Linked DNA regions of Mus musculus: regions 2 and 3 are each reported to be linked to region 1. Evidence: microRNA targets listed by miRTarBase, many of them from high-throughput screens and not tested one by one. Region 1 holds a microRNA gene; each other region holds the end of a gene's coding sequence.

Region 1 (7,116 bases):
TTGGAAAGATTTTCATCTCACTCTTTGGCTTGAGGACCCCAATGGCGTGGGGTAGTGGGAGGGGGTGTTGCCCTAGACCTTTCCCCGGCTTAGTTCCCACCCTCACTGCTCAGATTCCAAGCAGCGCCTTCCCCTTAGTAAAAACTTTTGCCTACTTCTCCAGCCAAGGTACCAGATTGGAAGAAAGGGGAAAAAAAAAAAAAAAAGAAATCCAGGAAGTTGATTCAACTCTGTGCTTAAATAGGGATTACCTCCTCCTCTTCCTTCTCCTCCCCTCCTCCCACACCCCTCCCCAACTTCCAACTTTACTGGGACTGCGAATCCCTGGCGAAAAAGTCGCTGGGAGAATGAAGAAGAGGATGACTTCAAAGGCGCAGGGCCCACTAGGCCATAAAAATTTATGGGCGATGTAATTATGTGGCTCTGAAAACAGGAGACCGTAAATCTCTGGCAATGGCGAGTTTATAGCGGGGACAATTGGCTTCCCCTCGCTCCCTCCCCCACATGCCTCGGAGGTCCCTTCACTGTAAAGCGCCGGGGGTGGGAGGGGAAGGGGTGCCCACGCACTCACCCGTGCTCACGTGAACTTTGCGCATCCAGGGGTAGACGACGGGCTCTTTGCACGCGGAGTGGGACGGGCTGGGATGCAGGGGGTTCTGGGCGCAGGGAGGCGGCGGGGGGCTGCTGCTGACCGCCTCGCTGCGCTGCCCGGGCTCCGGGAGGAGGGCCCCGGCTGTTGGCTGCACTGGAGCCCGAGGGGACAGCCCGGGCGGTGGCGGGGGCGGCGGGGGCGGCGGAGGTGGCGGGGGCCCGGGGTCTCGGCAGGCCGCGTAGCGCTGCACAGTGCACGGCGCCCGGCGCCCAAAGGCCGCCTCCGGCTGGAAGCCGCTCTCTCGCCTCTGGCCGCCGGCGTAGTACCCGGGCGAGTGGTCGCTGGGTAGGTAATCGCTCTGTGAATACTCCTCGCACGGAGGGAACTTGGGGTCGACATAGTTTGAGTTGATCAAAAAGGAACTCATAGCCATTAATTTCTGGGAATTGCCCACAAAATATACTAAAATTTATTCCGACCCCTGACTCGTTTTCCTGTTTCCGAAAGCCCTCCTACTTACTGTCAAGTGAACAAAGTTAGAGGCCCACGTGATCCTCCGAGCCAATGGCCACCCGGCCTGCGATTCCCGGATAAGGAAATCTGCTCACCCGGACCCTACTCCAGCCAAAGAGGTTTATTTCCCCTTCTCTACCCCTCCCCACCCACCCAACACCAGGATTTACATAGGGCTCCCGCGGGGAGACCCCCTCCTCGCCTGGCTTTCTCCACAACAGAGAGGGGTGATGAACTAAGAAAGAGTGAGCAGGTTAATTGGAGGGCCTGTTTGGGGGTGAGGGGGCTGGGCAGAGCACAAACCCTGCATCCCTCAGAAGTTGGGGCTGCGGGTGTAGCCCCCACCCCTGCCCTACCTAATCTCCACCAACCTTTCTCTGACTCCCATAGGGCCCCATCTCCTCCCCAGGATAAGAGGGAGCTCACGCACTAGGTGTCTGTGTGGGGTTTTAAGTGGTTGGCCGACCAGGGAGCGCCTTCTTGAAATGGGTACCCACTAGGTCATAGGGGCGCTGAGCTTGGGGCTTCTCAGTGCAGCCAGATGGGGAGGGGTAGGAGGTGAGTGAGGAGGCGTCGGGAGCTAGAAGGCGGGTGCGCAGAGGGACTTGTCAGAGATGAATGGAACCGCGAGCAGATCGATAGGAAATTCACGCACTAATTCGGGGAGACTTCGCCTTCCAAATCGCATTTAGCTGCACTATGAGCATCGGCTGTGTCCGTCAGTCTGTCCTCCTCAACACTCCCTCCCTTTAACCCACAAGGCCCAAGGTCAGAGGAACGGCTGGACTCCCTCCACTAAAGACAGAAGATACAATGAAACCAAACCAAACCCGCAAGTTCCTAAAACCAATTGAATAGTAATTTGCTAATTCCAGATTCGTCGAAGCAATGCTAACCAAGAGTTCTAATTGCCGCTAAAGCCGCCGCCTCTGTCAGTGTGGCAGAAAGAAATTTCACAACCTTGAATACTAAGTAAAGGAGCCCTAGCTGTGACGCCCCCACCAACATCACACGCACAAGAACACCCATGGCAACCTTATGTTTTCAGGGCATCTTGTCTTGAATTCAACGAAACAGCAATCTTCGCATCCTTTTAAAAAGCAAATTTCCTTTGCCTTTGCACACTGCAGCCTTCAGCAATCTTTTTTTCCTCCTCATGATTTCCAATAAAGCCCCCTGGACCCAGAATAAGAATAGGTAGGTTGGGGCTTAAAGATAAATTTTAAAACACCAGTAACATTAATCTCTTGAGTGAACAAGGACCCAAGCTTCCAGGGGTGTGCATGGGGACACCTCAGGTAGATGAGATTTCTCCCTCATTGGTTGAGGGAGGAAAAGAAAAGGAGTCTTCTTGAAGGCAGTCACTGGATTGTCCTCATTTAGAAAATAATCTATTTTTCTTCTGGGAAAGAATATGAGCGGAGTGTTTATGTCAACTACATATTCCCCTAGATACGAATTTGTGACCACAAAATTCCTTACACAAATTCGGATCTACAGGGTATATACAGAAGACAGACAGGTCTTCTTGGCCCAGGAAATTTCCAGTTCTCTTACTTTCCGTGCGTTCTTCTTTTGGGTGTGATCTGAATGTTTTCATTTTTATTTCGTTTTGTTTTAATTTTGAGATCTGGGAGCAGAAAAGTCACTGTGGGTCCGTTCTTGGGATTACAAGGGGTTTCAACTTTCTATTCAAAAAATAAAATAAGATTTTTTAAAAAGGCAGCTGTTGTGCAAAGGGACTCGAACCTCGTGGCTGCCGCGCGACTTTCGGTGGCGCATGAATTATTAGATGTAAACATTAGCTAAGCACAAAAGAAGGAAGGGTCATCCCGAGGCTGCCTCGAAGTCAGAATCAGGCCTTTCTGGGTGCCCTCGGCCCCTCCCCTCCCCCCATGACTTTTTTTTTTTTAAGAAAAAATACAAAACCCCAAATAGGTTCCTCCCTTGCCCCCACAGCCTTTAGTTTGTGATCAAACACATATATAGATATTTTCCAAAGCAAAGGGAGGAGGGAGAGGTGTCTGGGTGTGAAGGGGGTGTAATAAAAGTCCTTTTGGAAAAAGTGAATGCTAAAAAGAGAGAGAAAAACAGCTGTGAGGAAAAATGCTGGGAGACCAAACAGATGGCCCCCCCCCCCATATTTAATGACGGGCAATTCCGTTTACAACCTGAGAAGAAGATCAAAGGCAGTTCATTTCCGAATGAAGGGCAATGAGGAACCATAAAAGTTGCAGCCAGATGATGTGCAGGCCCCTCCCAACCTCACATATCCCCCCCATACCTCCTGGAGGCTGGAATAAGGGGACACCCCCCTAGAGGTGTGAGGAGGACCCCCCCTACCCACACCTTATCCCCAGGCAAGGATCCTCTGTCTAGAGGCTCACTAACTGGGCCCATCCACCTGCTTGGGTTGCTGGCTGTGTGGCCAAAATGGGATTCTGGAGTTTTTGGGTGAACTTCCTGAAGCTCCCACTAACATTTGACTTTTCTAAACTGAAAAAATGAGAAATTGAGGATCTGGAGTTTAAACTGGGAGAGCTGTGACCAGGTGAGGGCAAGTGTGTCCAGCAGAGTCTTTCTCACTATCACCACCGCTATAACACCCTAGGCTTGGGGGATACTTCTGCCCTTACTGAGTAAATTACAACACAGTCAATTTCATGAACATACACAAACAAGCCAAACCCACGCATGCACACACCAGGAACCCTTGCAAATGGGCAGGAGAGCTCCCACCTGCAGGCAACTGGGTCCAGAGACCTCAGTCTTTGTTGTTGTTGTTGTTGTTGTTGTTGCTGCTGCTGCTGTTATTGTTAAACCTCATAGATCTAGGCATGGCAATGTTGTCCTCTGGGTTTGTTTTCTAACCCCAATGCCCTCCTATAGGCCAGACTCATACTTAACTGGAGAGAGAGTCAGAGAAAATACATTGTAGTTTTGATCTTCATCAAAGACGGGGTTCAATTTAGTCACCCATAGACAAAGTGTGCTGCTTTGACCCAAGCATCAAGCAAGAACAGTCCTCTCAAAAGGTATTTAGAAGTACCACGACCCACTCCAATGTCCAGGCCCCTCCCCTATCCCATATCTCCTGTCCTGCTCTTGAATACTGGTCTAACTCTGTTTCAGAGAGCAGCTAGTCTACATTTTGCTGATCTATGCTTTAACAAGGGATGTGGCCCAGGTTTCCTGAGCTCCAAGGGAGAGGAATAGGGATAGAGAGATGCAAAGCTGGGTATGGTTGAACCTAGGGCCGGAGCACTGAGATTTTCGCTTTTGCGAATAGGAGAGCCACCACCTGCCCTCCCACCAAGGCGCAGCTGCAACCCCCATCCACACTCCCTCCCTGTGTAGACGCCAGGGGCGGAAGACAGGATTTATCTGCAACTCCAGGACAGGTTTCATTGCAGCTACACGCAGCCTCACCTCTCTATGTCTAGAATACCAACAACAATAACCATAACAATGAAAACACGCAGAGCCAGGGGCTTGGGCACGCTCTCTGCCCTATCTCTAGTGCTCCGGATCCTTTAGAGGCCACTTGGCTGCCTTCTCCTGGCAGCCACAGGTTGCTAGTGTGACCCCTCGCTGCCCAGCCCAGCCCTTCTCCGCCATCACAGGCCTACCCCCGGCGGCACAGAAAAATCATCCACCTTTTATGGACGAGTTGGAAGGGAAACAGAGAGGAACAGGAACCCGAGGGCCAACCGGAGGTCAGTCTCTAGCGGGTCCGGGCACCCCAAGCGCGTTGAGCATAGCAAGGGCCTGAGCCGGCAAGAGTACTCACCCAGCCGCTCCCCGCCTGCTCCAAGCCGACCGGCCGTGGCCCGCTGAGCAACAGCGGAGCTCGCTCCTGTCCACTATTGTGTATCCGGAAAACCGAACCGCGGCTGCGGGCAGTGGAACCACATGCCCCCTCGGAGGCCGGAAAAGGACTTTTTTTTTTTTTTTTTTGGTGTGTTTTTGTTTTTGAAGAGCAAGTTTTCGTATTAATCTCATACTTTGGCAGTCTTTGTTAAACAGCAGGCGCGTCACGAGGTTCTCGAACATTTTAATAATTTTTAGACGCCGTGACCTGCGGTTCACCCCTCTCCGGGCCTCCCCCACGAGCAGGCAGTTAGTATAATATGCTCACGCAGTTCGCTCGGTCATATTGAATTTTGCGCAGGTCATTACTTGGGAGAAAAACGACAGAGCAGGATTTGATTCAGTTTACCCTCTCCAGTTCTACTTTTCTCTGTTCCCCCACCCAACCCCCAACCCCCAAAAGTCTCCATTCCAATGCGATTCAAGCTGACCCGCCTTTGCTTTGATTTTTCCATCATTCCAATATTTTTGCCAGCTCCCGTGCCCAGCGCTGAGAGCAAGACCGTGTGACCCCGTGGAGGGAATCCTTCGGAGGCCCGAACACTAAACAACTATGCTGGCACTGGCACCTGAAGGGCAGAGAGTGTGTCACTGGGCATCTAAACCCTAGAAAGCAGGCCTCAGTCAACGGTTTCCTTCTCTGATGTCGCCCTAAATGCTTGCACTCTGCAGGGCTTGAGTCAACTGAGACTTCTTCGTCCACTCTGTCGCCCCAAATGTCAGCTACAGGGACACTTCTAAAACTTGGAGGCCCCAGAGTTCCAGACTTTCCCACCTCTCTGGATGGAGCAATTAATCCACAGCAGAGCCCTGGGAGATAGGCTGGATTGCACTGCTGGAGGCTGAGGCTGGAAGCTTGAGGACCTGGCTTTCAGAGGCTGTAGTTGTCCCTAAAACCAAAATACTCCTCATCCTTAGTTCTCACTCATTCAGCCACTCTGTCCCCACCCCCCAAGACCAAGGTTTTAAAATCTGGTGCAATGTCAATGTCTATAATAGCTTTCCCTTTCTCTGGCCCCCAGCGGACTGGTTGAGTTAAGCCAGATGACTCTTCTTCCACGCTGGTAGTGGTACCCTCTGCTATGGATGGGTTGGGAAAATACTCTCTAAGGCAGCCAGTTTGGTCTGGGGTGGCAGAAGTCACTCTTCCCTTCCCAAAACCTTTTTTAGCTTGGGACTTTGGGCCACTCCAAGTCTATTACAGATTTTTTTTTAATTTGTCATTATCTTCTCCTAAGATGAAGGCAAATGAGACTTAGGAGGAGATCAAACAAAATAGATTCTCTCCTTGCCCCTGTAGCCTCTACTCCTCAGGCCCCAAGACTTCCTCTCTGGACTCCACCCCCACCCCAGAGAATCTCACTTGAGAACTAAATAAAAATAAGATTCCAAACACCTTTTAGTTGGGGTGGGAGGACCTTGGGGTTAAATTGACTTGAAACTTGCTATTAACCTTTTTCTTCCTCATTGGCTTTATTTCAAAAGTCATCTTTACAAAAGCTCTCAGGTTTTCTCCACTGTGGAAGGACAAACACCCACAGTACAACTCCTATAGCGAATGTTTAGAAGAGACTGTGATGGCATCTTATAATGCAATAATCACTTAAAGACCAAAATAGGCATATGCTTTGTTATTATCACGGTCTCTAGGAAGCATTTTACTTATGAACTAAGCTTAATGCATAGACTGAGGGTTCATTTCAGGTCGCCTGCTTCAACTCCATTTACAAAGATCTCCAAGTGATCATTAGGTATTTTTCCATCACACTTGCCCTTCCCTCCTCCAAAGAGGGAGAGAGGGAATCCGGATGAACATCCAAACGGAGGCTTGGGAGAGAATGAGAGAGCAAACGACTTTTCAATGCCCTAGTTCTTAAGCACGACATTTAAAAGAAAGGATGGAGAATTAAAAAAGAAAAGAAAATCTCTAGCACTGACCCAAAGTCTTGAACTCAGCTTCCTGCAACTAGTCTAGGAACTAGGGGTCTGGGAAAACAGGGGACATCTTTCAGGTGGGTGAGGAGCCTGCAGTTATCCCCTTTAGGGCGAGCAGGGTGGGACTGATGTGAGAATCAAGCCTTCACCTTGGAAGCCTTCTTTTGGTCCTGCCAAACGTCCTGCAAGGACGTGTGGGTAATTGG
Region 2 (7,116 bases), not on the chromosome of region 1:
TCCAAAACATTCCTATAATTTTTGTTTCATGGCATAAATTAAACTTGAAATATTTTAGATACGTTATCCTTTTTAATTTCAACTGTTGCCTTTTTTTAATGTGTCTACGTTTAAATTACATATTGCTATTATATTACTCTGGGCCAGCAAGGACCCAGAGGGTGCCCGGCACATACCAGATAATAAATATTTGTTGAATGAATAAATTAATTGTAACCACCGTTCTACTGTTTTCTACTGTAATCCTTTTACAATAGACATTATTCAGTTTGAAAAGAGAGTAAAACTCTGGCCTAGTGTCTGGCCTTTTTAACAGTAGCTTGGTAGCTCCCAACAGCTCTGCCCACCGCCTACCACACAGACGTCAATCACTAGGGAAAAACTCTGCACTGGAAAAGATTCCGGTTTAAAAAAAAAGTGTGTGTGTGGGGGGGGGGAGGTGGTCTGGTCACAGATTGCTTTGAGATACAACTTTGAGGCATCAATGGAAACGAAAACGGAAGCTATAAAAAGAGTCACAGAAGAAAACAGTAGGGGCCATTTAAACAGAATTCTATAGGGAAGATACTGAAAGGTTTTAATCTAGATGGAAACCCGGGAGAGGAGCTGCCGCGACACCTTTCCCTGAAAGCCTGGCTCCTGCAAACAAAGAAATGTCATTTCCTAAATGCAAAGGGGACACCACCCCAGGGAACACCTGCCTTTCCAACAACCCCATCCGGCCCTGCCAGCCCTCTGGTGCATCCGAGTCCTCCAGACCTGGGTGAAGCTTCAACTTCACCGGAACAAGTCTGAGCCCTAGGCCTTGACTCTTAAAATCCCCCTACGGAATCTGTCTTTCAGCTCCGGTATTTGGGGACCCTGGAGTGTGGCGACAGCCCCCTCCCCCAGGTCCCCAACCCACGCTACTATTCCGTGATCAGGACGCTGGGACAAGAGCCCTCCAGGGAGAAGCCCCGAGGGGCTGCAGGTCTAGCCATCCCTAGCATCTCTGCGCTTTTCCAGGCGGCCAGCAAGTTCATCCCGTGCTCTCACTTTGAGCTTTCGTGGTGACAGCTGTGGACCTCACCCACTAGGGTGTCGGGACCTACGTGTCACCCCGGGGCAGTGTCCGGGGCCCCACCCCGTTCCCAGGCACCCACCCAGCGGCCGCAGCTACTACCGAGCCGCGATGGGCGCTGAGGCCAGAAGCCCGGCCATGGCGCAGGCGACCCGGGGACTCTGGAGCCATCCCAGTCCAGTGGGCTCGCTCAGGGACGGCGGCCGGTCCCCGCGGTGGCAGGAGGCCGGCTGCCGCAGCTGACAGCGAAAGTGAAACAAAGCTGCCCTCCCCGCCTCGGTCGCCGCCCCGCCGCGGCCGCACTCACCTCCGGCCTCCATGAGGACGCGCGGCCCGCCCCAGGCGGCGGGCGCCTCAGCCCCCAGGGCCGTGGGCCTTCATTCCGCGCCCGCCCCGCCGCGGCCGCGCCCGCCGCCGCCACCACCGCCGCCAATGCCGCCGCCGCTGCCGCCCGCAGAGGCCATCAGCTGCTTCCCGTCACATGGCGGCCGGCGGGGGCGGGGCCGGGGCCGGGGCGGAGAGCTCGCAGGGGAAACGCTGGGGATGCGGGGGCGGAGGCGGAGTGGGCGGCGGGCGCGGGACGCGGAGCTTCGAGGGGGACGCCGAGCTGTGGGGACGGAGGCGGGAGGCGGGGGGCGGGGAGCGGGGGGGGGGAGGGAACGCCGGACTAAAGGGACGCGGAGCCCGGAGGAAGCGGGGCTAAGGGGACCCGAGGTGGGGGGGAACACTGGGCAGAGCAGACAGAGAAGGGGGCAGGGGAGCCCCGGGCAGGATGGGGTTGGGGGTCTCCGAGAGCATCCAAAGTGGAAACCTAAAATTGGAGCGAGTAGAGATGGGGGTGGGGCGGGCAAGGGCTGGGGGTGTCGTGGAGAAACCTAAGGGACTGCTCGCTCGCTCGAGGCTCAGGGAAGCTGCCCGGGTCATGATGCTGGCTGGGGGGCAGGGAACTGGGGATCCCAGCGGGAGCTGAAATGCTGGCCTTGACAACGGCCCCAGCGGGAGGGATGCTGGGAAAGCCAAGGGGGAGGAACTAAGGGGAGAGGAGGTCAAGGTTAACCCCCACACACCCCGAGATTTCCCTCTTCGTGTCCTCAGATGCTAGTGCCTCGGGTCCTGGTCCTGTTTGTGTCGGGTGGATTTAACTTGGAGCCAGGGTAGGAGAAAAGGGGTTTTAAGTAGTTCCTGTAGTTGTTCCTTGGCTTTGGACTTTCTCATGGGCTCTGTAATCCCCTGGTAGTGTCCTGTCACCACCCCACCCACCACCCACACTCAAGGTCGCTCCAGTCCCTTTTCCTGTTTCCAGCCTGGACTTTTTTTTCTCCAAGTTCAATGTCCCCATTTCCTTCCCTTTTGAGTCATAGATCTCTTTGTAATGTGGAGCCAGGGAAGGAAAAGTGATGGGTTTAAGTCTGCTCTCCCATGTTTTTTGAGCTGGAACGGTAGGAACCTTGCTTCTACATTCTTGCTTTGTATGCGTCTCTCTTCCACTTAGCGTTTAGTCCAGGCACACTATTCATGACCCAGTTCTCAGGTCTCCTAGAAGATACCCGCGGTTTATCAGTTGTCTGTTTTGAGGACACACACACACACACACACACACACACGTTTTCTACCTCCCTGTCCCCTTTCTCGTTCTTCATTCTTACTTAACAGCCTCCCTTAACACACTCGATATCTAAAGGCATTTTTTTTTAATGGCTTGTTCCTCACCCTTACTCAGCCCCGGGGTTCCCGTTTTATTTCTGATGTCCTTCCTGATCGCCTTAGATCCCAATTCTATTCTCCAGACTTAACTTTCCACTATTTCCCAGTTCTTTTTAACGTGTCATGTTTCCCCCATCTCTACCATTTTCTCATCAGTGTTCTTTGTGAATATATTGTGGAGGCCAACGGTATTGTCCCTAGTATGTCACCACTAGGGGTGTGTGTGTACATGTGTGTGTGTGTGTGTATACATGTGTGCATACTTGTGTGGGAGGGGTGGTTTTGCCTGCACATACTTTCCAGGTCTCCAAAGAAAACAGAAGAGGACATGGGATTCCCTGGAACTGATGGACAAATGATGTGAGCGGTCCTGTGGGCAATGGAAATTGAGCTCAGTCCTCTGCAGAGCTGCCAGCGCTATCACCGAGCCATCCATCCCTCCAGCTCCTCCTTCCTGTGCTTCATTTCCCAAATGCCATTTCCTGCTGTCTTTAGGGTCTCATTTTTAATGGTTTGGTTTGTTTCTATTTTAAGGCACTGGAGACTGAACCCATGCATAGTTAAATAAACACTCTATTGGTGAGCTACGTCCTTTACTGTACTTAGGCATTCAGCGTGCACAAGTCAAGTGGTAACGGGGACAAAAGAAAACCACCTTTACAGCTCTTTTCTTCCAAATGGCTCTTTAAATGCCCGTTTACGTATCTTCTGTTTGTGTGTGTGTGTGTGTGTGTGCGCGCGCGAGCGCAGCTAGTTGAGAGATCCCGTGGCATGTATGTGGACACCAGGGCACAACTTGTGGGAATATGTTCTCACCTACCATGTGGGTTCCAGAGATTGAATTTAGGCTTGGAAATAAATACCTTTACAGGTTGAGTCACCTGGCTGGCTAGCTAGCTAGTTAGCGCTGATGTTTCTTTAGACAAGGTCTCTTTCTGTAGCCTGGGCTGCACTCAGTCAATCCCACACAGTCCTGCCTCAGCTTCCCAAGTGCAGGGATTACAGGCATGAGTCTGAACCCCCACTCTTTACACCCACTGGGGAGGCATAAATCAAGACCATAGAAATGTATGTTTTTTAAAAAGTAACTTTATTCCAAAGTCTTAAAAATGTATAACCTTAGAACTAATTTCTCCCAATTTTTTTCCTACGAAATGGTAAGGTCAACCACGTTGACCCATCTGCAGTTTTTCTTTGCAGTAGCTGGTAGCCAGTTCTGTGGTGAGAAGTTTGATTGCTGTACCCAGTGAGGAGGATACCTTCTATATCTTTTGAGTTTGAGGCCAGCCTGGTCTACAGAGTGAGTTCCAGGTCAGCCAGGGCTACACAGAGAAACCCTGTCTCGGAAAAACAAAAAAACAACAACCATGAAGTGGTTTTCTTCCCAGTTCTAACAAGTGGAGTTCATCAGTTAACTAATACATGCAGATAAGAATTATTTTTTTAAAGACCAATGCACAAATTGTACTTTGGCATTTAACACATATGCCTTGAGATCTGGGTATGGATGGCATCAACGGAAAGAAGGGATGTGGGCTCCAGTTTTTAACAAAGCCTTAAAACAAAGCCCTTGGTGCCTGGGCTCCAAACTGAACTGCCCCTTTATAAATGTGCACACAGGCTGATAAAATAGACAGTGGTAACTGGCCAGGGCTTGAGAACAGCGGTCGGCACCAAGCCCTTGAAGCTCTCATTTGCTAGTGGAAAAAACCCTCAAGTATTTCCTACCGCCAGGTGTGCACATAAGAGGAAGTTACGGGAAGCACCGAGTGATCTCACCAAACATTCACCATGTTCCCAGATAGCCGCTTCCCCTCTAACTTCTCTTTTAAAGTTGCCTCTGAGTTGCAGACAAACTCAGGAACTCTTGTCATCAGGCTTCAAAGGAAAGACCAGCTCGAAGGACTGAAGGCAACCTGAGTATCCCACCACGAAATGACAGAGTGCCTGAGGCACCACTAAGCAAGAGAACAGGTCATAGCCATCCCCAAGGGCTCCCAATTCACAGCCAGGTGGACTCCTCCACACCCTGACCTCAGGGTGGGCCACAAGGGGAGCGGTTTCTTCACTTTAGCCCCTGCATTCAGAGAGACCAGACAACCTCTCCCACATCGTGCAGGTACTTCTGTTAACCAGCTCCACAGGAAACCTCCGGCCCCAGTGTTAGGAAGTCCTTAAAGCCTTAGATCTTGTCCTGTCTGAGCAGGATGTGCCCAAGAGATGTACCCAAGTACAGAGTGCAAATTTCAAGTCAGATTTTCATGGTTAGTACAGACCTACTGCACCCTTAGAAGATCCCTGACTTCAGAATGTTTAGATGAAATTTTAAAAAAATAAAATAAAATAAAAATCCCCAGAACCCAGCTGTCCCAAGCTAAAGTCATCACCCACTATTTTCTTTTGAAACTTACTGGCCCAGTAAGTAGGATGGAAACATATACTCCCATTTCCAGAACACAGACACTAAGTCCAAATGGACCGTGTGTCCAGTTCGTTATCAGGTGATGCTCTGTTAGCACAGGAGACATGAGGAAAGAGAAGCCTTAGGTTCGTCACTTAGGCTTTCATAACCAGATGCAGCTCTGCCTGTACACCGTGAAGGAGAGGAGAGGTGCAATCCTCTCTAGGGGAAAAAGCATAGTTGGGGTGGGCGGAGCTGAGAGTCTATAATGATGGCCCCTGCAGTAGCTCTGTGGAACCCCTCCCTAGGCACTCCTACACCCCGAACTACCTCCTCCATCTCTCAGGAGCCTGGAAAGTAGGTACTGTTTCAGGGGTGTTCTTGATAGGAAAACAGACGCAAAACAATAAAAGAATTCAAGCCTTGGGCCCAAATCCAACTGCCTTTTGGTAGCTGACCCCTCCCCTCTGCCAGGAAGGTTCCTCATGTCCATATTCGTGTTGGGTAAGCTGTCTACAAACCTTGACTAATGGCACAGTGCACAGGTACCAAGTGCCCCACCCCACCCCAGTCCCCAATCAGTGTCTGTCACAGTACATCACCTGGGTAGAGTCAGTATCACAGCCAAGTGGGCCCCTCAGACTCCACTACGGCCACTGCAGCTTTGCCCCACACCGGCTGCTCCTTCTCAGTGCACTTCACACTGCTGAGGTGAACCCACACCAAATGAAGTCAGTGGGAGATGACAGACGGAAGAAGAGATGCTGTGCCTGTGCTGCAGAGACCCCAGCAGTCCCTAACACAAGCTCCCCAGGGCAGCACGGTGAGATGGGGGGCAAGACAGCACCAACAGTGAATCGTCCTCTTCATCAAACTGGCTTGCCATCCTCTTGAACAATGCCACTCTGCTGCCCATCACTGTCATCTGTCGGTGCAAGAGATGGAACTGAGTGATCTCACCGGCAGGGGAAGTGTTAACCTTCTGTCTCCTGTCATCTTGGTGACTTGTGAGCCCCAAGAACTGGAGTTCATAAAGGAGGTAGGGCAGGGAGTACAACAATCTTCTTTTTGTTTTGAGACAGGGTCTCATGTAGCCCAGGCTGGCCCCAAACTCACTATGTAGCTGAGGATAACTCAACTTCTGATCCTCCCGCTTCCACTTCCCAAGGAAGCAAGGAGGCTGCCTAGGCATTCACAGATGATACAGGACTTTCTTTTCCTAATTCAACAATCCCTGTACTGCGTCTTCCCCCATAGACTTTGTTGGATAACTTCTTCTCTGTGCTGCTAGTTTTATGCGTATTGATTGTCTTACCCAAATGCCTGGGTGATATGGACTTTAGACTATGGGTAATTTGCATCTACAGAATGACAGTCCATGAGGTGGGACCCAAATCTAAACAAACATGAGCTCTATGAATATTTCAGAGTTCCCTTAAGCAGGTCTCACTTGTAGGTGATTGTATAAAATATTTCATTTTATTGTTTGCTTATGTAGTGGGGGCAAGTGGAAATCAGAGAACAACTTTGGGGAGCAACGTCACTCCTTCCACCAGGGACTGAATTCAGGTCACCAGGCTTGGAAGCAAGAATCTTTATCTATTTAGCCATCTGGCCAGCTCCATTTATACAACATTTTAAATAACCTCATGCATGAAACAAAGTATGTTGCAGCGTCAGTCTTGCGGCATATGCTGACACTTAAATGTTTTACATTTTGTTTATTTCGGAATGGAGCACTCAACTTAGCATGGAGTCTTGGGTTCTAGACTAGACTTGAGCCAGCTAATTTGCCTAGGCTTTAAGAAACTGCCCCTATTTATTAGAAACACCCTCCAGGAAACTCTATACAGATTTGAGGGTCTGGAAGGGAGGCAAGCTTACCCTGAAACTCCTGGAATCCATTCCCCATGCGGTCTAAGTTCCCGTTGACCAGAGCAGTCACCCTGTG
Region 3 (7,116 bases), not on the chromosome of region 1:
TTCAGACAGGGTTTCTCTGTGTAGCCTTGGCTATCCTGGAACTGGCTCTATAGACCAGGCCCTGAATTTACAGAGATCCACCCGCAGGTCTGCCTCCAGAGTGCTGGGATTAAAGGCCTGCACCACCACAGTCCTGCTTCAACGTGTTTCTCTGTCTTTGACAATGTAACCAGGGCATTTACTTTGGGGTCCCTCTGGTTCTAATTTGATACCACACTGGGCAGATTCGCCTCAAAACACCATGACCAAAAAGCAAGTGGGGAGTTAAAGGTTTACGTGTGCAAATTTTCAGCTCATCACTGAGGCAGGAACCTGGAGGCAGGAGCTGATGCAGAAGCCGTGGAGGGACGCTGCTTACTGGCTTGCTCAGCCTTACAGGTGGACCGCCAGTCCAGGGGTTGGACTACCTAGAATAGGCTGGGCCCTCCCACATCAATCACAAATTAAGAATTTTTTTTGCCCAAGTAGCTGTGCAGTGGTAGTGCATACCTTTACATCTAGCACTTAGGAGGTAGATGCAGACAGATCTCTGAGTTTGAGGCTAGCCTGGTCTACAGAGTGAGTTCCAGTCTATACAGAGAAACCTTGTCTCAAATAACTAAAATGATAATAATACTAATACTAACAATAATGTAATAATTAATTAACTAATTAATAAAACAGAAAAAGAAAGAAAAGGAAATGCCCTACAGGCTTGCCCACAGGCTGATCTTTTGGAGACATTTTCTTTTTTTTTCCTTTTTCTTTTTTTTAGAAAAGATTTACTTATTTATTATATGTAAGTATAATACTTGTTTCTCTTCAGATACACCAGAAGAGGGCATCAGAAACCATTATAGATGGTTGTGAGCCACCATGTGGTTGCTGAGATTTGAACTCAGGACCTCTGGAAGAGCAGACCGTGCTCTTAACTGCTGAGCCATCTCTCCAGCCTTGGAGGCATATTCTTAAAATTTTTTGTCCCCTTCTTTCAGATGCCACCAGCTTCTGTCAAGCTGACATAAAAACTATCCCATGCAGGCTCTGTGGACCTCGGTTTCCTCTTCTGTTAAATAGGATGATGTTATGCACCTTGAACACCCGTCACCCTGGTCTTCCCCCTTTCCTGCCAACTACTCCATTTAAGGCACTCTAGGAGATGGGACTAGGAAAGAGCTACATCATGTGACCAAGCAGCAGTTTCTCTCCATCCTTGGAAATGGCAGCTCACAGTGGAGGGAGGCCACCTTTGAATGTGGCCCTTTGTTAAAAGCAACTGTAACAGTGGACAATATCAAATCCAGAGTCCAGCAGGTGCTTCTTGTAGACATTCTGGGGAGGTCTGTGAAATAGGGGCTTTGTAGCTGGTGGGACCTCAACTTTAGACCAGGCAGTGCCAATTAGCCTAGGGTTTCTTGGGGCCTCTTCTGTCTAATTCTCCCTGCCTTAGGTCCTTCTGGGAGGTTTTTTATGTTGGTGTGTGTTTGTTTGTTGTTACTTGGTTTCTCAAGACAGGGTTTCTGGCTGTCCAGCAACTCACTTTGTAGACCTTGAACTTACAGAGATCTACCTTCTGAGTTCTGGGATTAAAGGTGTGAGCCACCAATGCGTGGCATCCTGGAAGATCTTACTGTGAGATGCAAATAGGCAAGTCCCCAATCTTATCACTGATTGGTTAATAAGTTTGCTTTAGTCTTCTTACCCCTCCCACAACCACCAGGATACAAAGCAGCATAAACCATGTGTGCTAAGACATTTTACTTTATTCCAAAGAAGCCAATATACACGATATAAAGGGCACAGTATTTACAACAGTACAGTAAACAGGTTGGTTTTCTGGTAGGGTCAGTAGTCTTTGATGAGTACAAACCCCTCCCGGTGATTTTCAGACCCAGCTGACAGACACAGCAACGGTGGGTAGGGTGGGACTAAAAACCAGGTAGATGCTACAGTGTGTGGAAAGGGGTCGTGTCATGGTGGGGAATTCACATGTCCTCGAGAGCTTGGGAAGGAAGTCATAAGGTGAGGAGTTTGCCTGAGACTCACACACAGTCCACGCTGAGCCTGGAAATCTTTTCCCAGAGTGTGTATGGCTTTGCCCAGACCCGTCTCCACTCCTCCCACTAGGTCAGTCCCAGAGGGAGGACCCAGGTCTGATGAAACCCTACAGAGTCCTGGTCCTTCATCCACAACCAAGCTCGACCTTGGCCTGGAGTAGACACAGACAGGGCTGAGCTCTTAGTGTCCTGAGTCCCTTCTATGCCTGCTCCAGCTGCCTGACGACTTCAGACATAGTAAGTCCCTATGCCCCTAAGAAGTCCTGTGTCCCCCAACCCCACAGAACCTCCCTCCTACTCTCCCCACACAGCTGAATGGGAGCAGGTCTGGCCAGAAGGGAGATGGGGTGACTAATTAGAACCTACCTCTCCCCCACCTCAGTTTTCTGCATTCCACCCTCCCTCCCCACTCCCTTCCAAGACTTCTAAGGAGCTGAGGGCCGGGGAAGAAGAAACAACAAACTCCCGCCCCAGCTGTGTGCGGACGTTCAGTGAGGACGGAGGGCAAGCTGAGGAGAGGGGTTTACTGTTGATTGTACACCGGAGTCAATGAACATGGCGGTATCTTATCCACAGCAAAATGCTGGGCCACCATGACTGCCTACCCTAGATTAAAAACCTTTTCCTTTCATAAAAATACAGTCTCTTGCTTCATAAATAGAATACATTTAGCTTAAGTTACACCTCATCTTACCCCTAACCCATCCCCTCTCCTCCCACCCTAAAGTCAAAGTGGTTTGACTCTTCATAGGACATCTGAGTTCTACCCCTAAAACAGAGTCCAAAGTGTTCATGCCTTCCAGACACACTGCCAACGGGAAGACAAAACCTCTTCCCCATCTTTCTCCTTTGGAGTCTTAGTGGAGTGTGTGTGTGTGTGTGTGTGTGTGTGTGTGTGTGTGTGTGTGTGTTTCACGACCAACCAGGAACCTGAAAGGATGCTGTCTCCCTGCTGTGCCTGTGTATGTGACCCCCAAACTAGGAGCATGGCCAGGGGCAACACGGGGAGCCCATCTGAGAAGCCCTGAGCCCCCCCGTGTCAATATGACACGGGGCTCAGACATAGAAAAGTCAAGAGAACATATGTACATGTTTACACGGGTGGACAAGTTCGTCCAGACAGGGCAGGCGCTGCCCCAGTGAGAGGCGGCCCCAGTGAGGGGTGGGGTCTTTCTGGGCAAGCTGTGGGCTCACAGTGAGCACAAGCAGGACCCACTGGCAACGAACTACGAAACGAACAAACCAAACACTAAGAGGAGGCCAGGCCCAGAGCCCAGACCAAGCCAGGAAACATGCCTACCACACCCTTGCTCCTCTCCACTCATCCTCCTGCCTCAGAGCTCCACCTCCCAGGGGAAAGCAGACTTTGAAAGTCAGCAGGAGGGAACCCAAAGGAGTCTGCTTTTCTCATGCACACCAGACAAATGACCTATGTATACAGGTGGGAAAGTTAAATAACACCAGAGACCAGCAACTACACAGTAGCTGTGTACACAGCCATCCCCTCAAACGTTTACGCTGTTGCTTCCTGTCTTAACGCTAGAGATACATGTCAGCCCACCACCTCCATGAAGAACGATCAAGGGCTGGCTTCTGCTCTGCCCACCTGACTACCAGACTCTACCGCTTTACCGCTGGATGGAAACGGTCCCCAACCTCAGTCAAGGACCCATGAGGGCAACCCTCCTCCTGCCCTCACAGAAACGGAAATCTTTACAGCAGCTAAGGTCCAGGCCCATCTGGCTCTGATAACCTTTGGTTAAAAAAATAACATAGAATAAAATAAAACCAAAACAATAATATCAATAACACACAATAATAATAACCAGAAGTGTATGAACCCTGTAACCTTTAAAAGAAGGATTGGTGAGAAAGGGGAAGAGAATAGTGAGGACAGGGGCTGTGTCTTTTCCCAAACAATTGTCCCTCCAAGTACCTGCACAGGGACCAATGGGAAACCCCTCCCCACATCATGGAAGACACACGTAAGAAAGGCCACCAAGTTCTGATAAGTTACAAGCCACCAACAAACACATCCTCTCTCCTCTCTATCCATACATAAGCCTACTATGTACACTGGCTCTAAGTGCAAAACAGATAATGGAACCACCTAGAGAGAAACAGAGGGATAAAGAGGAGGCTCGGGTACCACTATGGTTCCAGAGTCCTCTGCCCTTTACCACCCAGGCCTCAGAGGGCCATGGGTTCTGATCCCTGGGGACATTTTGTTCCTTTGAACTCCAGAGGAACCCACTGGGTCAATAAAAACAACATAGGCCATCAAAACCACTAGAGTGGACCCCAAAATAAGGAAAGAAATAAAAACAAAACCTGATTGTTGCTAGGCAAGTCGCCAGCTGCTCTCTGATAGACGGATGCTCTATCTTATGGCCCCTTACCTCAGGCCCCAGGGGAGCCTTGGGGAATCACTGGCTCAGCGTCCAGACAGATGGGTATGGAAAGCATGTATGAATGAGGACGGTCCTCACTTGAGGCTTCTCTCCAGTCATTGCCAGCCTGCCAGCAGCCATGCCACTCCCCCCCCCCCAACAAGGCTTTTTCCCCCCAGCCAGAGGGACAACGGAGGACCAAGACGGTACTGTGGAGGACAGAGTAGGTAGCAGGCCTGGCCTGTTCATACTTTCTCACAGAGAAATTACAACCATGGAACCTGGCAGGTGATTGGAGAGGCGGGAATGAACATCAAGTCATCAGGAAAATAAAAGACCACCACCCACCCCACCCCACCCCACAGAGGTCCCCAAGAAAACCATCAGTCCAGTGGGCCGGCTTGCAGAATGCAGGCAGGCCTTACCAGCAATCTGACTGGGACCACCCCCAAAGCCACCTCTGAACCTCAGAGGCTATGAGGGACTCATGCCAACCTTGGCCTCTCTCCCAGTTCCCAGAAGTCTGAGAGAGGGCCTGCCTTCCCCAATGATATAAGGCAAGCTGCTTTTAGGTTTTTTTGTTTGTTTGTTTTTTGTTTTTGTTTTTTGCATAGTTTAAACACAGTGAGGTTCTTCCTTCCCCCACAGTGCCTTTCCCCGATACATCGCCACTAGATCCAAAAGAAGAAGAAAAAAATTGGTCTTCCCTCCCTCCACTTCCGTCCACCACTCTATCCCTGGGTGAGAAAGTATTGACGACTCCTCCTCGCCCAGCTCTGGAGGTAACACAGTCTACTTCCTTGAGAAAGCAGACCACCGCAAGTCATCTTGGGACAGAGGGAGGGAGCAAAGCTCATGTCCAATCAGAGGAGCAGGTGGGAGGGAGAAAACCAAAAGCTACCACGCCTCCAGGCCCCACCCTCACCTTAGAGTTTTATATTTAAAAAAACACCTGCTAGGAAGAATTCTTTGGAGCTCAAAGTGGCTCAGCTTAAGGGAGAAGGCACAGTTGCACTGCATCGACGCACAAAAGTCTGCGTTTGTGGTGTGTGTGGGGACAATAGAAAAATCGACAGCACCATTCCATGGGTCGGTGGTGGAGGAAGGAAGGAAGCAGCGGTCCCGCTGGGCCTCCGGAGAAGGGAGGACAGAAGTCTGTGTCGAGGAGTGGAGCCCACACGGCTCAGTGGGGAGAGGAGGCTGGACCCCATCACCAAGACCACCAGGAGCGTCGGGCCTCCGTCATCAGCTGACCATGGGCTCCACATCCGCCTCCCGCTCCAGGTCTTCCTGGATTTCGTCTGTACTTCCTGAGTCACTGCTGGCCACGGAGCTGGGGGACGGTGAATTCCTGCATTAGAAACCAAAGCCTTTCAGAGAGCAGCCTGGGGGACCCTAACGGCCCAGGGCCCGGAGCTCTGGCCGGTCACACCTGTTAAAAAACCTACCCGAAGGGTCTGGGGTGAGCAAAACTTTTGCCTAGTATGCACAAGGCTCTGGGTTCCACTCTCAGCAACAACACAGTGGCGGCTACCCTGAGGGGCTCCTGCTGTGAGATCCCTGCAAGGCGCACTTTCTCCCAGTCCCTGTAGGTTCCATAAGCTGCCTAGGGCTCTTGGCATTCCTTGGGACCTCTACCCTAGCCACTGCTTACTGTAGCGTGTGGCTTCTCTTTGGGAGTGGGGGGTGGGGTGGTCGTGGGTATTCATTCTGTAACTTTCCATCATCCCTGGTCTGAGCACAAAGTGGTGCCCTCTGAAAACCCCAGGTAACAAAGCGATGCCCACTGAAAACCCCAGGTAACTGGGAAGAAGGAACCTCAGATAAGAAAACGCCTCCACCCACCGAGCATGGTGGCGCACGCCTTTAATCCCAGCACTTGGGAGGCAGAGGCAGGCAGATTTCTGAGTCTGAGGCCAGCCTGGTCTACAAAGTGAGCTCCAGGACAGTCAGGGCTATACAGAGAAATCCTGCCTCGAAAAACAGAAAAGAAAAGAAAAAAGAAAGAAAAGAAAAGGCCTCCATCAGACTGGCCTTCAGTCGTAATTAATGATTGGCGTCAGATCTCAGCCCGCTGCGGGTGATGCCACCCCTGGACAGGTGGTCCGTGGTCCTCGATGCTATACAAAAGCAGGCTGAGCAAGCCATGGAAAGCAAAATGGTAAACAGCTGCCCTCCATGACCTCTGCACCATTTCCTGGTTCCAGCTTCCTTCCCTGACTTCCCTCAACAACGGACTACGATGTGGAAGTCTAAGCCAAGTAAGCCCTTTCCTTCCCAACTGCTTTCCGTCATAGTGTTCATCACAGCAACAGAACACTAACTCAGACGCTCTAGCACACAGCGGGCCTTTGACAACTCTCTGTTGAACCGATCGATCGTGATGGTGGTGGTATTATTTGTTTTGTTTTGTCTATACATTAGTCACCTAGCACATAGTAGGTATGCTCGTGATGGGGGCTTGGGGGGAGGTGGATGGATAGGAGGTCAGACAGAGGGTCGGAAAAATTAAAATGTAGTGAAGCTGCACGAGGCAGCCCCGAATGTCTCTCTGTAAAGCCCCCACCCACCATGGAAGCCCTGGGGCGCATGCCTATGCGCATGCGCACAGCCGCACCTGTCTGCAGAGCCTTTGATGAGCCGACGGCAGGTCTCCATCTGCACGTCCAGGCCTCGCTTCATGCTGCACA

The links. Region 1 holds the annotated microRNA mmu-miR-10a-5p (UACCCUGUAGAUCCGAAUUUGUG, at 2,587-2,609, opposite strand). A microRNA usually pairs through its seed, bases 2 to 8, with sites in the 3' UTR of a target mRNA and lowers its output. Matches are read on the target gene's strand: a 7mer-m8 pairs with bases 2 to 8, a 7mer-A1 pairs with bases 2 to 7 and ends in A, and an 8mer does both.
Region 2: miRTarBase lists Vsig10 as a target of mmu-miR-10a-5p. Seed matches in the 3' UTR shown: 7mer-m8 at 4,099-4,105.
Region 3: the mRNA of Iffo2 is a reported target of mmu-miR-10a-5p. Seed matches in the 3' UTR shown: 7mer-m8 at 3,876-3,882.

The regions. Positions count from the first base shown.
Region 1 is chr11:96,312,679-96,319,794 of GRCm38, reverse strand. Mir10a (microRNA 10a) reads right to left here and starts at 2,630; the gene lies at 2,521-2,630. It overlaps Hoxb4 (homeobox B4), which reads right to left and starts at 1,528. Exons shown (of 2, transcript NM_010459.7): 1 at 572-1,528. The coding sequence starts at 1,025. It also overlaps a transcript of Hoxb3 not described here.
Region 2 is chr5:117,351,725-117,358,840 of GRCm38, reverse strand. It overlaps Vsig10 (V-set and immunoglobulin domain containing 10), which reads right to left. Exons shown (of 10, transcript NM_001033311.3): 9 at 7,050-7,116; 10 at 3,835-6,090. The coding sequence ends at 6,035. Wsb2 (WD repeat and SOCS box-containing 2) reads right to left here and starts at 1,536. Exons shown (of 9, transcript NM_021539.5): 1 at 1,368-1,536. The coding sequence starts at 1,380. It overlaps Gm42012 (a long non-coding RNA gene), which reads left to right and starts at 1,981. Exons shown (of 2, transcript XR_878716.2): 1 at 1,981-2,214; 2 at 3,068-3,351.
Region 3 is chr4:139,614,989-139,622,104 of GRCm38, reverse strand. Iffo2 (intermediate filament family orphan 2) reads right to left here. Exons shown (of 9, transcript NM_001205173.1): 8 at 7,044-7,116; 9 at 1,723-5,777. The coding sequence ends at 5,672. Among named protein-coding and RNA genes, the nearest start is that of Aldh4a1, 4.3 kb to the left of the region's middle.